Linked DNA regions of Macaca mulatta. The protein of the gene in region 3 interacts with the protein of the main gene of each other region in a pairwise test. Links are inferred from orthologs where the notes say so. Each region holds a gene or a part of one and is shown on either strand. Other genes may lie near its edges. The genes, in order: BYSL, TRIM42 and LONRF1.

Region 1 (2,375 bases), on a different chromosome or scaffold from region 3:
CCTTCCAAACCCCTTTGGCCAGGACAACTGACTGTTTTCTCAGTTGTCCATGGTGATGGGAACATCTTCCACATCTCGGGGGACTGCGCTCTGAAGCTCACGCCTGATTTCGGGGGATAGCTGTGGATGGGGCTGCAGCCGGAGCAGTTCTAAGAGGGCCTCTTTCTGGTCTGTGGCCAAGTCGGCCTTGTAGCGCTGGACCAAAGTCAGGAGGCACTGGTGCCAGAGCACAGGCAGTTCACGCTTCTCTGTCCGGAACCCCAGGAAGTGGAAGACTAGGGCATCCAGCACCCGGTAAGGCAGTGCATACTTCTTATCCAGCAGCAGTCGCAGGAAGATGCTGTTGGCACCACTGTATTCCATCTCAGCAATTTTCAGCATGGCCGCGCTAGTGGGAAAGGGAGGTGGGGTAGAGTTAGCGGGGAAAACATTGGAAGAAGGATCCTACTTCTCCCTCTGTGCTTTCCCCCTTTTTTCTTCCCCTCTGCTGGCCCTTACACTATGGTATTCCCCAGGGACCTTCTCACCTACCCAATCGTATTATACTTGCTTGACTTGAGTCACCATCTCTACAGGGATCCACCCAAATCTCTACCTCCAGCATAGACTGCTTGTTTCAGTACCCAACTAGAGTATGGTCCAAACATCTCAACGTCTCCACCCTAACTACTTTCTTCCTGTGTTTCCTACTCATTTGTTCATCTATTTACTGAGTACTTTCTTTATACCAGGCACTCGGGCCCTGTTGTTGCAGAACTTACATTTAGGGGGATAATGATACACCTACTCATTGGCTTAAATAAGCACAAACCCAAGACTATCCTTAGCTTCTTCTCCACTCTACCCATCCCCAAGTCCTGGCAATTCCACTATCTGGATATCCACTGACCAGCCCCCACCCCGCCGCTCCACCCCCAGCAACGCTACCTGGAGTGCAACACAGGGATGGAGCACTTGGTGATGATGCTACCCACAATGATGGCTTCCCGGAGGGTGCAAGTGCCAGACTCGCACAGTGGAATCAGGACCCCTGGGGAGAGTCAAAGGGCAGTCACTATGAGCCCAGGATGAGAAAAAGGAGTTACAGTAGGAAGCATTCCCACCCAGCCCAGGGACAGCTAGCAATTTCCCACATCAGGCCTGCTGTGTTCCCCATAGAAGCTCCAGCCCTTCACTTTCTTCCCTGCCTCTGGGATCCCACCTTTGAACCAGGCTCCAGGTTTGAAAAGGGCCTTCTTGAGAGCCATATAGAGATGGAAGTTGAGTCGTTTGTATTCAGCAATGTCATCTCGTACTCGCGGGAGCAGGACAAGGTTGTAGAAGCGCTGGGCCATGCGTTCCTTCAGGTTAGAGGCAAAAATCCTAGTGGGAGTTAAGTCGGGGAAGTTTCCAAGTCACACGACAGTCTGGACCCGGCCCATTAAATATCACCATGGATAGTGCATACAAGAGGTTTTCAAGTAAAATATGGGACCTTTCTTTCAGTGAGGGATGTGTGGGAGCTGTGTGCATGCAACACCCATCAGCTTAGAGAGAGAATAGGAGGGGCAATGAGATATATCCAAATGAGGAGTGCCGTCTGTCTGTGGGAGAGCCAGAGCTTGTGCAAACTGATGGCTACGCAGCTACTCTCCTTCCTCTTGCTATCATGGCTTCTCTCAATTTTGCTATCACTAGGGCCCTGAGCATGTCTGGACAGTCACAGACTTCTGAGGGTCCTGCTACAGGGTTGTATCCAGTGGCTATAAAAGCCTCTCCCCTAGAAATTGATCATGGAGGGCTGTATCCCAGTGGCTATAAAAGCCTCTTCCCCTAGAAATTCATCACAGAGGGTTCCTAACTGGCTAACTGGGTCTTGGCCCCAAAAAATGACACAGGAAAAGCTAGAAAAATGATGCTATAAAGTAGCAGAGAGGGCCCTGGGGCCAGAGGCAAGGAAAGCCTGTCCGTCCCAAGCCCAGCCTGCACCTATAGACCCAAGGCCTGCAAATCCCCATCTACTCTACCTGGTGGCTTGGTACATGGCGGCTGCAGTCCAGGCCTCAGGCTCTGTGACGTAGAGGATTTGTTCCCAGTTGGAGAGTGCAGGGATGATCTTAAATGCCTTAGGCAGTTTTCCACTGCGGTACTTAGATAATACCTAGGGATGAGGGAGGTAAAACAATCATTGTCATCCACATATGGCAAGCTTGCTGTGGGCTAGGAACTTGTCTGGGTGCTTTTAATATATTAACTCATTTCATCCCCACAATAACCCTTTAAGGAGGTGCCATTATTATGCTCGTTTTACAGATGACCAGTGAGAGTTCCAGTAACTGACCCAAGGTTGCCAAGTCATTTACAGGCAGAGCAGGAATCTGAAACCACACACTCTG
Region 2 (3,655 bases), on a different chromosome or scaffold from region 3:
TATATGGTAAGAGAGCAGCTCTGGGCAGTCTTGGTATTTTTATTCTCTTTCTCCTTTTAATATCAGTAAAATTATATTCATGAATGTGTATTCCCTGGAGATATAAAGAAGAATCAGTCTTGGATCACAAAGAAGATAGGAATAATTTTGTCTTTTCTTTTTTGGAACCCACACTGACCTGCTTAGTGGCAGTTTCTCAACTTTCAGATGAACAATTGTTTTTAGTATAAATAGGTCCTAAATATTGCACTGGACATATTTTATAAAAATTATTGTGTGCCAGAAATTCAAATTTAATTGGGCATCCTATATTTTTATTTGTTAAATCTGGCACCCCATCCTTGCCTGAGAATAGCACCTCATTTTTATCTTTCTCATACCACAATCATTTCATATCCTTCTCACACAACACTTATTTTTTTATGGACCCTGAGCACCTTGAAGGCAGGGATTATGTTTATTTTCCTCTGAATCTCTACATCTCTACACAATGCCTAGAACAAATGTTTTTGAATCAAATAGAACAATTCTCAGGCTTCATCTGCGAAGTCTGGTTGAGGCCAGCAGCCCTCTCTTTGGCCTCAAGTTAACAAATGTTCTGTGCTTAGAGGAAGAGTCCCATGGTGAGTTCTATAATCTCATGATCATCTTAACAGGGTCTCATCCAGAACCTATCATAGAAAAAAAAAATCGGAGAAATAATGTACACAGTACCTTGCAGATATCACTCCATTGCCCAGGACCATTATCATTGATGGCTCTAACTTTAAACACGTATTCTGTGTTGGGGGTCAGGTTGTGCAGCTCCAGATTCTGCTGCATTATGTCCCGAATTTGTCCGCAGAGCTCCATTTGTACGTTGTTAGGAGGGGAAGTAATGACTTCATAGAATTCCATCTCAAAAGAGTCCACGTCTTCTGTTGGACATGTCCAGTAAACCTATGGAAGAAATGAACATACTGGTGTGGTACTGGTATACATCATTCAGTTTTCTTTCCATTAAAGATTTGTGATGTTGACTATCTGTGGGGTGAGTTTAAGCTGACCCTATCCCCTGTAGCTGCCGAAGACTTTTAATTAGACTATGCATAAGTCTTGAAAGGCTGTGTGATGAGGCCTGGCATGATGCTTGTGATGAGTTTCACAAACAGAAGGTTTGTGACTGTTACTGTCAGCCAACGTGGAGGTGACAATTGTCCTCCTGCTTGAAAAATACTGAAAAATAGAGGGGAAGAAAATAAACATCACTCGTAATCTCACAATTCAGTTAATTCATTATTATTTCTTTGCAATTTCAGAACACACACACACACAAACATATATGTATATAACTTGGATTATGTTGCTTTGATTTCTATTTTCTTTTACTTATGTTGTATGTTTTCCTAAATCATTAAAAATTCAGTAAACTACCATCTTTAAAATTTCTCCCGAAATAATTTAATCCTTCTATGGTTGAACATTTAGGTTGTTTCTAATTTTATACTCTAATAAATAAATGCTGTAATAAATACTGTTGGGCATAAATATTTGTCTGAATTTTTAAGAATTTTCTTGGAAGAGATTCCTAGAACTAAAATTGAGTTTAAAAAATCTCTAGGATATTAACTGTACATATTGAAAAGTTACAACATTAAGTTTTAGAATATTTTCCATGCTAAAATCCTAAAGATTTGAGAGTGATGTTAACATAGACTTAATCTTCTGCATTGCTAAGCACTATGATTCCTGTATGAAGTCCATTCCATTATCCTAAAATATGAATCAATGATATTTTAAAATCAAATATCACTATCTGGAAATAGGTTTAGGTGTCCTCTTTTGACAGCAAATGACTTGACTGAGTTGTTTTGCATAGGTCCCTTTTTTGAGCTCATCAGGGGTGACTAATAGGTGGCATGGGGTGACTGTTTTCCATGCCCAGGTATAGAGCAGATACTACCAATTCTCTGGCTCCATAGCAAGAGCCTGCCAACTTCTTAAGAGGTCTGAGTTGGTCAGGAGATGAGACCCAGTGCTATCCCTGAGGTAATAAGCATACACTATAGGCCTTGCTGATCTAGTATCATTTGGAAATGTAGTTCAGCTGCTCAGTTATGGGCATTGCTTATGTGAAGGGCAGAAACACTTCATTATGTCAATAGCCCATGGAATGTTCTATCTTGCAAAGTATGGGTTGTTCTTTGTGTCAGTTATAGACAACAAAACATAGATTATGATGTGTCAGGAGAATGGAAAAGTAGAGCTTGGTCTGTGTCTGGCCTTCATTTTTTAGATCCTTAATAATAAAGTGTGGGCTGTAGACAGCAGCATTGGCAGCACCTGGAAGTTTGTGATAACCTGAATCTCAGGCCCCATTGAAACCTATTAAAATAGAATCTGCATTTTAACAAGATCCCCAGGTGCACATCGATGTTTGAGAACTGCTAGTTTAGAACTCAAGGATCTAAAAGTCTTTGGGAGTGTTCTCAGATTATGAGAGACAAAAGATGAACTCTGCCACGTGGGAGCAGGACATGGGCTGACTCTAGAAAAAAATCCAAGAGGAGGAAAGAGGAACTCAAATAGAATATTTCATTGCACGTTAATTTTTTTCCTCCATAAACCTTAATAAAGTGTTCTACAAACAATTCAATGTGGGTTCAACTAGATTTGAAAGGTATGTTAAAGAAAAGGTCATTTGTTCATGTTGTTCATGTTAGGTCAAGAGGGTCAAAGGGAAGTCATGTTCCTTGAAGCCAGGCAATGGCACTTATAGAGATCTGTGAGAGACCTCACTCTTCACTCTCTGCCTTCAAGGCGGGTTGAATCTCAGAAGAGTTGAAATTTCATTGGGGATGATCCTCCCAATTTTTCCAAATCATAGAGAGTCTGGATATTTGCTTTAGGAAAGGTAGCAATTTAGAGGAAACAGCTGGTAGGTAATGGAGCCTGCATTTGTAACTCCAATTTCTGTGCTGTCTCTATTACAGGCTTTCCTTTGGGAAACATTACACTGCCAAGTAGTGTCTTCAAATTACTTTGGTTCCCAAATAGGGTTCTCTTTCAGTTGAGAAGTTGCCTTTGCAGTGGAGGTAGGGCTTTCAGATATATTTACGACTGTAAGTTAAATATATTGACCGTTTGGTTTAAGCTAATCTTGGGTTACTTAAGATTCCCGGAACTTATCCCTTTTGAATGGGATGACCACAAAGAGTCTAGAGGAGCAGATTTGAGTGACCAGATCCTAGAGGTCAAAGAGACAAGTGCAACTTTTCCTGACTACTGACTTCTACTCTGTACCCCAAACCCTCCCACCTTCCCCACTGGGCCCAGAACTTTTCTTACCTTGGCAGCTCTTGGGTACACCAGAGTCTGGTAGATAACAATTGGGCCCGGGGTCTTCACAGAGCCATCGTTGAATGAGTACCAGTTGTGGAAGCTGCTGCTGTTCTGTACAGACTGGCTGTCTGCTCCAGCACACCAGTAGGTGTAGAGACCATCTGTGGGTTTGGCGGGGGTGGCTGACTGGGCTCTCCCACAGGCCTCCAGACCCACCTTGGCCTTCTCCTCAGTGTTGCTGAAGGATAAGATGGAGGAGCTTCGCTGGTATATCTGCTGGTTGCCGAGGCTGTGGGTGCTGAAAGTGACCTTCCTGGCAATCATTGTTTCTGAG
Region 3 (3,755 bases):
TGAAGATATTAAACAATGCAAGATCTTGACGTAAGTTCAATATGACTAAGCACTTGGGACAAAAGATGACCCGAAAGATGATCCTTTCAGTTACACAGTCTATAAATTTACCTGTAATACCTAAAGTCAGCTGCTATTCTAGATGTCTATTTTCTTGGGGATTATTCCCCCAACTATCCCCCAACTATCATGCCATTCCCCCAACTATCATGCCAATGGATAGACACTAAAATCTTGAAATACGCGTAACACAAGGTTTATCAACAGTGGCACTTGGGGCCTGATAATTCTTTGTTGTGGGAATCCTGCTGTGCCTCATAGGATGTCTGAGCAGCACCCCGGGCCTCTCCCACTAGATGTCGGTACCAGCACCACCCCCACAAGAGGTGGCAACCAAAAATGTCTCCAGATATTGCTCTAGATAATGTCCCCTGAGAGAGGGGAGGTAAATCCTGCTGGTAAAGAACTACTGATTTAAAGAACAACTCTTCCTTTTACATAAGAGAAGCTTGACACTGCCCCCTTTCAGCGCCTAAAACCACCTTAAGAAGAAAGTGCTAGCTAACCTAGGTTAGGAGGCCGAGGCTGCTTCTTGGAGACTAAGAAATGCACTCAAGACCTACAAGGCCTTTCCCCACAGCTTGATCCTAAGTGGAACGGCCAAGAGAAGCGTGGCAAAGAACTCTGGATCAGGAAGCCCCTCTCATCTTTACCATAAGCTAGGTGCACTGCAAAGTACATAGGAAATAAGCATGATCTGAAACAGGCCGGCTGAAACTTTCGAGAGAAACCAGTTCAGGCATTTCCAGGTAGCAAGGGACCACCCGGGGCAGCTCCGCCCCGCGCCCCAAGCCCGGCGGCCTGCGGGGCCTCCCGGGGCCGGGTGCCCGCCCGGAGCTCCCGCCACGCCCACCGGACGTCACCCGTTACACAACGACCCCCGCCCCCAGCTTATGCAATTCTGCCCTCCCGCGGCTCCCAATTGTCCCGGTGACTTTTGTGGGTGAGGAAGGGAGACGCCGCCTTCCCGGCCTAGTTGTCCTCGTGGGGGATTCTCTCCCCACCCCGGCAGTCGTTTCCCCGCGGCGGGCCTGGCGCGAGAGAGTCAATTCCCGGAAAGCGCGCGGCAGGAAGCGAGCGGCCGCTCGGGATAGCCCAGCTCCCACCCATCCCGCGCCGGGGCACCCACGGCTCCGGTCACCCACTCCGCGCCCGGAGCGCGCGCCCGACGGCCAGGCCGCGGCCGAGGGAACCCCGCGCCGAGCGCCCCTCCCCGCGCTGCGTCACAGTCGGCTCCCAGGGCGATCCCCATTGTGACCGAAGCACCCCGGGGCGCCGCCCCCTCCCACACCCCCCAGCACCCCGAGACCCAACACGCCAGTGGCCCAGCGGCCCCGGGGAAGCAGAGGAGACTCCCGGGACGCAGACAAGCTCCGGGTCCCCGGCCCTCGGGGCCAGGAGGGTGCGGTCGGCCCGGCCCCGCCGCATCCCCGCGCGGTCACCTGCTCGCAGCGCCTCGCAGGCGGCGGCCAGGGCCTCCCGGTAGCGCCCCTGGTGTAGCAGCTCCCCGAGTCTGCCAGCCGCCCGGGCCCGCTCGCGCTGGCCCGGGAACCACTTCTCGGCCAGGTGGTTGAGGACGACGCTGGTTCTGAAGTCTGAGGCGGCGATGGCGGCTGCCAGAGGCGGCGGCCGCGGGGCGGTCCCTTCAGCATCAGTGGCACTGGCGGTGGCGGGCGGCAGCCGGTCCCGGCAGAGGCGGCAGCGGGCGCGGAGTTCCCTCCGCAGGCAGCGGCGGCAGTAGCTGTGGCCACAGGGCACGGTCACCGGCTCGCTCAGGAAGCCCCGGCAGCCCAGGCATCTGAGGAGCCCGCAGGCGCCGCCGTCCGCGCCCGCAGCCGGGGCCGCGCTCCAGCTCAGCCCGTGGCGGAGCCGGTAGTTGAACACCAGGCAGTCCACCAGGGCGCCCAGGCACTCGGGCCTGGCCGGGGCCCCGCGGCGCAGCGCCGCCGCGAACGCCTCCAGCGCGCCCTTCAGGTGGCCGCCCAGCGCCAGCAGCTCCCCGCGGCGGAGCAGCAGTTCCCAGCGCTCCGACTCCGCGGCCGCGCGCTCCAGCCGAAGGCCGCTGCCGCCGCCCACTTCCCAGAACCGGCCTCGGCCCTGCGGCGCCGGGGCCATCTCCCGACTCCCTCCCGGGGAACTCCTCGCCACCGCCGGAGAGGACATGGCCCGCGGAGGGCTGCGCTGCCGCCGCCCGCCGCCACGGTCCGGGAGCCTCCCGGGCGCGCGGCTCCGCACGCGGCCCGCGAGCAGGGGGGCGTGGCGCGCGGACACGGCGGGGCGGCGCGCGCCCGGGAAGCCCCGAGGGCGGGGCCTGGCGAGGGCGGGGCCGGGCTCGGCGACGGCGCCGGGACTCCCCCACGCAGCCCGCGGCCGCGCTCGCGAGGAGCCAAGCGCTGGGCCCCGCCCCTCCCGAGCCCCCTCCCGGCGGGGGCGCAGGTCGGATGATTCCTCCGTCGGAGATCTAATTGGCTTCTCCGGAAAGGAGGGCTCGGCTCGTGACGGAACAAAGCCCGATGGAGCCCAGAGTCTCCGTCCCCGCTTGCCTGCTCGCCGACGCCCCCACCTGCGGTGGCCCGCGCCCTTGCCGCGCGGGACTCAGGGTCACCACCCCTCCCCCGACGCCCCCGCCCAAGCCGGACCTGCCCCAACTCCTGGCGGGCGGGGGTCTCCCGGCGTGTCCTCACGCTTGTGCGGGTCTGCATTTTCATTCCTCTATGCCCAGGTTCCAGGTGGGCGCTCCCAAGCAGGGGGCCTGGGAGGGCACCTTCGGCAGATGACTGGGACTCTTCGGTTCTAGAGGACTCAACTTGAAACAGGAACACAAAACCCACGTTCCTGGGGCGACTCCCTCCAGAGGGCAAGGAGTTTTTCCTGGTGCCAGGTGACTGCTGCCCTTTGCTTAAAACTCATCGTAGGCCCACCTCGAGGGAGAAAGCCCACACAGTTCCTCAGGTGTCTCCACACCTCAGGCACTGCCTTACAGCTGGTTAAAGTCTATAGTTGGCATATTTAAAAGAAAACACCGAGAAAAATGTTGTTCACGTGGCGGTCACCGTATTACTACAACCCAAGCAGGGTCTGCAGTTTTGCCAACAGAAGAAAATGATGGGGTTGATATATAATAGGTGCTATTTCCCTTAAACTTCACAGCGGCAAGTTTAAAGCTCTCCGCTGAAAATATTTATAGATTTGATTATAGGGTATTAGATTGTTAATGTTAGGAGTCACTTAGAACTTTTAGTCCTTTTTCAAATGATGGGAAACAGAGGGAAAGTTATTTGTCAAAAATCACACAGCTAATATAGATTTTAAGATCACGTCTATTCCACTATTATGTTACTACGTTAGACTGATCATATATAATATTTAATAAAATAATAGTAATATTTCATAGAAATAGATTGTCAAAGTAAAGGAAGTTGCTAATTGGAAAGTTCACCTGAGCATAGTATGTCTGAAAATGGTATAAGTTTAATATTTCTCTTTATAAGGAACGGCAATTAAGGCTAAAAAATGTTTTGAGTTAATGTGTTTTCACTACACAATGAGCAAGTCGTGTAACGTCAGAAAAGATAGAGATATATTACCCTAAAGGGAATGAATAAAAAAGAGGTGCTTGAGAAAAAGCCAAGCCTCCTGTTCCAACAGGATGCAGACAGAAACAAGTTCATTTATCATTCACATTGCACCTGAAG

What was found.
Region 1: the proteins of LONRF1 (region 3) and BYSL interact in binary tests that used the Homo sapiens proteins (3 or more experiments, as listed by UniProt). The two-hybrid records come from large-scale screens. The link is inferred for Macaca mulatta from reciprocal best matches to the Homo sapiens genes LONRF1 and BYSL.
Region 2: the proteins of LONRF1 (region 3) and TRIM42 interact in binary tests that used the Homo sapiens proteins (3 or more experiments, as listed by UniProt). The two-hybrid records come from large-scale screens. The link is inferred for Macaca mulatta from reciprocal best matches to the Homo sapiens genes LONRF1 and TRIM42.

Annotation. Positions count from the first base shown.
Region 1 is NC_133409.1:140,241,157-140,243,531, forward strand, and holds part of BYSL (bystin), read right to left. Parts: intron 2,141-2,375; coding exon 2,007-2,140; intron 1,363-2,006; coding exon 1,202-1,362; intron 1,031-1,201; coding exon 928-1,030; intron 389-927; coding exon 40-388; 3' UTR 1-39. UniProt on the Homo sapiens protein: Required for processing of 20S pre-rRNA precursor and biogenesis of 40S ribosomal subunits. May be required for trophinin-dependent regulation of cell adhesion during implantation of human embryos.
Region 2 is NC_133407.1:43,695,732-43,699,386, reverse strand, and holds part of TRIM42 (tripartite motif-containing protein 42), read right to left. Parts: coding exon 3,328-3,655; intron 940-3,327; coding exon 715-939; intron 1-714.
Region 3 is NC_133413.1:13,058,423-13,062,177, forward strand, and holds the start of LONRF1 (LON peptidase N-terminal domain and RING finger protein 1), read right to left. Parts: upstream 2,309-3,755; 5' UTR 2,224-2,308; coding exon 1,503-2,223; intron 1-1,502.